Oryctolagus cuniculus: one gene and its partner. The protein of the gene in region 2 binds, or shares a complex with, the protein of the main gene of each other region. Links are inferred from orthologs where the notes say so. Each region holds a gene or a part of one and is shown on either strand. Other genes may lie near its edges.

What was found. The genes of interacting proteins can lie anywhere in the genome.
Region 1: SF3B2 (region 2) and PPIL2 share a complex: the UniProt entries of both Homo sapiens proteins name them as parts of the minor spliceosome. The link is inferred for Oryctolagus cuniculus from reciprocal best matches to the Homo sapiens genes SF3B2 and PPIL2.

The regions. Positions count from the first base shown.
Region 1 is NC_091452.1:29,123,015-29,126,659, forward strand, and holds part of PPIL2 (RING-type E3 ubiquitin-protein ligase PPIL2), read right to left. Parts: intron 2,915-3,645; coding exon 2,869-2,914; intron 547-2,868; coding exon 484-546; intron 1-483. UniProt on the Homo sapiens protein: Has a ubiquitin-protein ligase activity acting as an E3 ubiquitin protein ligase or as an ubiquitin-ubiquitin ligase promoting elongation of ubiquitin chains on substrates.
Region 2 is NC_091432.1:5,756,045-5,759,689, forward strand, and holds part of SF3B2 (splicing factor 3B subunit 2), read right to left. Parts: intron 3,602-3,645; coding exon 3,494-3,601; intron 2,785-3,493; coding exon 2,677-2,784; intron 2,437-2,676; coding exon 2,294-2,436; intron 2,190-2,293; coding exon 2,088-2,189; intron 1-2,087. UniProt on the Homo sapiens protein: Component of the 17S U2 SnRNP complex of the spliceosome, a large ribonucleoprotein complex that removes introns from transcribed pre-mRNAs.

The DNA.
Region 1 (3,645 bases), on a different chromosome or scaffold from region 2:
AGCTCGGAGCTAGTGCGGAATGGGCCCCGGCAGGCACGGGGCTGCCCGCACACACACGCGTGCCGCAGGGTGGGGGCAGTGCCAAGCCAAGGGCAGATCCCACACTCCGCTCATAAGCGTGTCTCAGCCATGGTGCTTACCTCACGGACAAAAGGGACCATGGCAGTTTCCCATTTGCTTCCTATTCCCCAAGACGAAGTTAAAATGACAGAGGCCGGGTTGCATTAGGACATGGAAGTGGGCACACAGCGCTGGGACCCCCCCCCCCCAACAAGTGGTGGATGGGGCGGGGGGTGGCCGGTCTAATTCCAGGCAGCCACAGGGGCACTGCTGCCATGGCCCCAGGTGCCTGCGTCTCCCCAGGCTGCCGGGACCAGGGGTCTGGCGGCCTTGGTGCTGCCTGGAGCCACAAACCGCGACATCGGCCCAACGTCCTCAACAATCTCACCACACGTGTTAGATCAGAATTCAAGAACAACTCACAGTAAGTCAAAGACGACGCCTTCCGGGGTGCAGACTGGGTAGACGAAGGGCTGTAGAGAGAGACTGAGAGAACAGAGTCACTCTTGGGTCAGCCCTCAGGCAGGCACCGCGGCAAGGCCTCCCTCGGGCCTCCCTCCGACAACTCTGGGGCCGCGCTGCACGGCCCATACAAACTGGTGAGGACAAGGCAAGGGTCCTGGCTGCCCTCACTCCCCTCTGCGTGGCCTTGGGGAGGCCAGACCAGAACTGCCTCTCTCTGTTCACAGAGCAGGTGGTCCGGCGGGGCTGGCATGATCTCAGAGGCCCTGCCTACCCCCGGCCATCTTAAGAATCCCCTAGGTTGCCTGGGGGTGGGCACACAACCCGGCAAGACCTGAGTCCCTCTGACACAGGGGTGGGGGCCAGGGGGCACAGGAGCCCCCCGAGGCCTGGCTACAGTCATCCCCACAGGCATGGAGAGTGCTCCTGGGGAATCACGTCGTGCCAGTGGCCCTGGCCTTGCATGCGGTTCCTATCAGAGGCACCCAGAGGGGCCCGTGCGGTAGCTTAGTGGGTTAAGCTGCTGCCTGTGACACTCGCAATCCCATATGGGCGCCGGTTCAAGCCCTGGCTGCTCCACTTCCTATCCAGCTCCCTGCTAATGCACCTGGGAAAGCAGCAGAGGATGGCCCAAAGACTTGGGCCCCTGCACACACACAGGAGACCTGGAAGTTCTTTCTCTCTTCACCTCTCTCTCTTTCTTTCTCTGTAATTCTGCCTTCTCAAATAAACAAATAAATCTTAATAACCATAACAATAAGTCATCCAGAGCCTTGGCTCACCTGGCTTCTGCTCTGTCACCTAGGAGTTGAATCAGCAGAGGTCGGTCCCCCACGCTCTGAACAGCCTGGCTACCCGACCTCCAGGATGCTGCCTCCTTTGGACCACCAGGCCATTTCCTGCCTTTTTTTTTTTTTTTTAAGTTTATTTTATTTATTTGAAAGGCAGAGTTACAGAGCAAAAGGGAGAGATGGAGACAGTGACAGACGAGAGAAAGAGAGAGAGAAAAAGAGAGAGAGAGAAAAAGGGAGAGGGGAGAGGGGAGAGGGAGAGGAGAGAGAGGTCTTCCAAATGGCCACGGCAGCCAGGGCTGGGCCAGGCCCAAGTCAGGAGCCAGGAACTCCACTCAGGTCTCCCACGCGGGTGCAGGGGCCCTCACACTCTAACTGCGGCAGCGATGAGCGAGCAGTGCGGGACTCGACACCACAGCCTGCGCCAGGCAGTGTGTGGCGAGCAGGCACCTGCTCCCAAGCGTGACCCACAGGTGCATTTTCACCCACAACCCACAGGGGTCATCAAGACACAGACAAGACACCTCGTGGGCGAGCCAGGCGCCAAGGCCAGAAGCTCTGTCTTCCCATCAGTGCAGAGGAGACCACGGTACCAGGAGGCGGCACCAGCCTGGCAGGGGTGGAGAGACTTCGGCCAGCGATACCTGGGCCCTGGTTGGTCACCCTCCCTCCCCAGCCAGGTGCCGGCAAGCAGGGGCAAAGGTCTTCCCCAACCAGTGACTGAGCGGGAGCCTCCTGGGGACCCGTGGACAGGTGCAGGGAGGCCCAGCTGGCCAGCTTAAGTGGCTGCACCCCCTGGGGCAGAGCCCTTGGCCCTTTCCTACCACATGTCCAGCTGACCCACCTTGACGGGGGTGTCAGGATCACTCACTCGCTGTACGTCTCCCTCACTCTCTCCCTCTGGGTTGCTCTGCTTTTCAACTATTTACTTACACACACACACACACACACACACACACACACAGGGCGAGGGGACCTGGTGCTGTGGCGCAGTGGGTTAAGCTGCTGCCTGCAACACCACCATCCCATACGGGCACAGGTTCGAGTCCTGGCTGCTCCGCTTCCAATCCAATTCCCTGCCAATGCGCCTGGGAAGGCAGTGCAAGATGGCCCAAGTGCCTGGGCCTCTGCACCTGCGTGGGAGACCTGGATGGAGTTCCTGGCACCTGACTTTGGCCTGGCCCAGCCCTGGCTGCTGTGGCCATTTGGAAGACCTCTCTCTCTCTCTCTCCTCTCTCTCTCTCTCTCTCTCCTCTCTCTTTCGTCTATCACTGTCACTGTCTCCATCTCTCCCTTTTGCTCTGTAACTCTGCCTTTCAAATAAATAAAATAAACCTTAAAAAAAAAAAAAAACAGAATGAGGCTAAAAGGCAGAGCACAGCAAATACACACAGTAAGCAAACACCGCCCATAGGCTGTCAGTACCATGGGTCCCCCCTCCTCATGCAGGGAAGGTGGGGGTGTGCGGGGGGCCCAGAGAGAACCCCCAAGGCCAGACTCACCTCTGCTGTCAGAGTGCACCCGCAAGGGAAAGGCAAACCTTCAAAACCCTTACCTGCAGTGGTCGAAGGGTAAACGGCGGAAATTTGACTGGGGGAGATCTGTTTTGTGGGGAACAAAAGGGGAACACCGGCTGTGTCAAATAGCTCCACTCCGTGTACCTGCCCACAAGCACCGCTGTCTTATGGGAAAAGGAGTGCTCAAGTACTTAGCACCGCCACTGCCGTGGGCACCAAACACAGGGAGGGCGTGGACAGAGGAGGAGCTGGAGAGAGCGTGAAAATTACAACAGGGGCCGGAGCTATGGCGTGGTAGGTTAAGCCGCTGCCTACAGTGCCAGCATCCCATGTGGGCGCCAGTTCAAGTCCTGGCTGCTCCATTTTTTTTTTTTTTTAAAGATTTATTTATTTATTTGAAAGTCAGAATTACACAGGGAGAGGAGAGGCAGAGAGAGAGGTCTTCTGTGCCAATCCAAAGCCAGGAGCCAGGAGCGTCTTCTGGGTCTCCCATGTGGGTGCAGGGGCCCAAGGATCTGGGCCATCTTCTACTGTTTTCCCAGGCCATGGCAGAGAGCTGGACTGGAAGAGGAGCAGCCAGGTCTTGAACCGGCGCCTGTATGGGATGCCAGCACTTCAGGCCAGGGTGTTAACCCATTGCGCCACAGCACCGGTCCTGGCTGCTCTACTTCTGATCCAGCTCTCTGCTGTGGCCTGCGAAAGCACCAGAAGATGACCCAAGTGCATGGGCCCCTGCACCAGTGTCAGAGACCCAGATGAAGCTCCTGGCTTCGGATCAGCCATTGTGGCCATTTGGGGAGTGGGTCAGTGGATGG
Region 2 (3,645 bases):
GTCTTTCTCTGCATCTCCAATAAAGAAAAATGATTTCAGGGCCAGTGTGTGATACAGCAGGTTAAGCCACTGCCTGTGACACCTGCAATCCCATTTGGGCACTAGTTCATATCCCAGCTGCTCCACTTCCGACCTAGCTCCCCCTGCTAATGCACCTGGGAAGGCAGAAGATGCCCCAAGTCCGTGGGTCCCTGTCTCCCATGTGGGAGACCTGGATAGAGTTTAGGCTCCTGGCTTCAGCCTAATCTAGCCCTGGCCACTGCGGCCATTTGGAGAGTGAACAGCAGACAGAAGAACTCTGTCTTTCCCTCTCTTCTGTAACTCTGCCTTTCAAATGAATAAATAGATCTTATTTTTAAAAAAATTTCTTTCAGCTGAATGAAATTGTGACCAGCAGACCCACAACAAGAAATGTTATAGGAAAACCCTTCAACTAAAAGGAAAATGAAAAAAAAAAAAGAAAGAAAGAAAAGAAAAGAAAAAGAAAATGATACCAGAGAGAAACCCAGATACACACAAAGAAATGGAAGAACATTGAAAATGTTATCAACAATTATGGTTGCTATGGTTGTTATTTAAATCTCACTAAAAGATAACTGACCACGGGCCAGTGCTGTGGCACAGTAGGTTAAAGCCCTGACCTGCAGCGCCAGCATCCCTTATGGGCAACAGTTCCAGTCCCAGCTGCTCCACTTCCCATCCAGCTCCCTGTAAAGGCCTGGGAAAGCAGCAGAGGATGACCCAAGTGCTTGGGCCCCTGCACCCAGAAGTTGTTCCCGGCTTCAGCCTGGCTCAGCCCCAGCCCCAGTCACGGCAGCAATTTGGGGAGTGAACCAGCGAACAGAAGATCTGTCTCTCTTTCTCTCTCTCTGTGTCTACCTCTCTAATTCTACTTTTCAAATAAATAAATATCTAAAAAAAGAAAAAGAAAGTATAAAATTGGACCGGTGCTGTGGCATATCGGGTAAAGCCACCATCTGCAGTGCTGGCATCCTAAATGGGTGCTGGTTCGAGACCCGGCTGCTCCACTTCCGATCCAGCTCTCTGCTGTGGCCTGGGAGGGCAGTGGACGATGGCCCAAAGCCCCAGGGCTCCTGCACCCAGAAGAAACTCCTGGCTCCTGGATTCAGATCGGCCCAGCTCCGGCTGTTGCAACCATTTGGGGAGTGAACCAGCCGACAGAAGATCTCACACTCTCTCTCTGCCTCTGCCTCTCTATAACTCCAAGTTTCAAATAAATAAATAAATCCTTTAAAAAGGCAATATTTAAAAAATGTAACTGAGCATATAAACAGAAATAACAGCCATGTGCTAGTACAGGATTTATAGCACACGTAACGTAAAACATACGACAGCAGCGTAAAAGGCCAGGAGAGAAGCCAGCCCTGCTGTGCGGAGCCTCTGGCAGATGACGACGCGGGTGGGAACGATGAGCAACCACGGAAACTCACAACAGAGGTCAGCTCATCAGCCAGCAAAGGTGACACAGAGCCAAGCGGAGTAAACTGTTCAGTAGCCCGAAAGGCAGACAAACAGGACAAAGGGAGCTGCGCAGAGGTCCGAGAGGTCGCTTCTCGGTAAAGGGGCCAAATGGGGAAGACTTCGGACTCCGTCTCCACAGCTCAGAGCTTCGAGACCCCGGCCTGTGCACAGCTGTGCTTCTGGGGCCTCAGCACACACCTCCGGCCCCAGGCCATCTGCAGCCGTCTCAGCTCCCACACCCCCTTCTCAATGAGGTCTTCCCAAAGTCCACCTCCCACCACACCCCTCCACAGCCACTACCTCCCACCACACCCCTCCACAGCCACTACCTCCCACCACACCCCTCCACAGCCACTACCGGGCTCCTCGGCCCCAGCACCCTCATCTACATCTGAAACGACCTTCGACGGCCGGCTCCCTCGACGGCCTCCCTCACGCTGCCTCCCCGCTGCCCACAGACAGCCTGGCCCAGAGCTGGTGTTCGACGACGCTGACAGAAGGGGCGGGGGGGGGCGGGGGGGGGCGGGGGCGGCGGAGGCAGCCCGCTGGCCCAGAGCTGAAGGAAGAGAAACCTCCCCCCGCCCCAGCCTGCCCGCTCCACTCACCCGTCCATCGCCTCCTCGATCTTCTTCTTCCTCAGCTCGATGAGCTCGGGGGTCTCCATTCCAGCGGGCACCGACGAGAACCCTCCTGGGGTGATGAGGCCACTGAGGAGAGAGGAGTCAGCGCAGGGCCAAGAGGGAGCCCGCGGGGAGGGAGCCCGCGGGGAGGGAGCCCGCGGGGACGCACCCCGCAGGGCCGCTGCGCCCACCTGTCTGCCGGCGTGATGAAGCCCGTCTCATCTGGCTTGTCTTCGTCGCTCTCCTCCTCTTCCTCTTCCTCCGAGGACTCCTCGTCTGAGGGCTCCAGTTCCCCCCACGGGGTCCGATCAATCTCTTCTTCCTCAGTCTTGGTCTAGGAGAGATCACTCAGTCATTCGACAAAGGTTCACTAAGTGCTACCGCGTGCCACGCTGTCGTGAGTGGGAGGGGCACAAGTAGCCAGCCCCTGACCCGAGCTGGGCACAGCGCACTCTCACTGCAGCACAGAACACGCGCCCCCTCTTCACTCTGAGGAACACCCAGCACCAGGGTACTGAGCTATAGCGGCTGCCTCCAGCCAGCACCCTCAGGCCTGCGGGGACCCGGCCCGTACCTGAAATTCAGCAGCGTTGGTTCCAAACACGTCCCCGTAGAGCGGCTTCCCGGTCTCGTCTACTGGGGGCTTGCCCCAGCCGCCGGCATGGTACCCGAAGGAACAGCTCTGCAAGACGCGGGGCACAGTCAGCTCCACCGCTGAGCTCGAGACCGCCGCAGCCCTAGAGCAGTCACTCTTCCAAGGACTGAACGTGCGCTCAGGAGTCCGGAAACAGTGTGGAGAACCGAATCCGCGGCCCCACGGCGGCACAGGGCGGTCAGAGAGACAGCACAGGCCGGACACTCCCCTGCACGGCGAGGCGAGGGCGGCCTCCGGCACTGGTACCTCCAATTTCATCTGAAGCTTAGCAACGCCACTTTTTTACTTCAATGGCCTCACTTTTTTTTTTAATTTACTGCCGTTTTGAAATGTCATGCTGTTGCTGAGATGAAATCGGAGCTGCCTGCCTACGACGCACGTGCGAGGCACAGGGAACGCGCCGCCTCGGTCAGTCGGTGTGGCTGTTTCTGCGCTCGCCGCAGCAGCAGACGGGGGAGCCCGGCGCGCGCCCGCACAAGCACGGCCGTGAGTTCACCACGTGTCCTACAAGCCCTGGGCGCGTCTGGTGACGAGCCTGCCGCTCGGCTCACCTCTGGGCTGCTAATGCTGAGGGAACACTTTATCGTGAGCGTGTCGCTTTTTTAAACCAGTAGAATCTGTTACTTCCTTTCTGTTTTATAACCAGAGTGGAGACGAGGAGAAGGACACAGAAACCCCCTCCGTGAGACAAGCAGACAAGCAGAGGCAGCCAAGACCGAGAAGGGACGACACTCACCTCGGGGATGGGCGAGTTCAGCCCGGGGATTTTCAGGTTGGGGTACGATGGGGGTGGTCCGTACCGCTGCATGGCGATCAGCCACGGGGGCGGGACCTTGTGGGCGTTCTGCAGCATGAGAGAACAGGGGAGCGTCTGCCTACCCTGCGCTG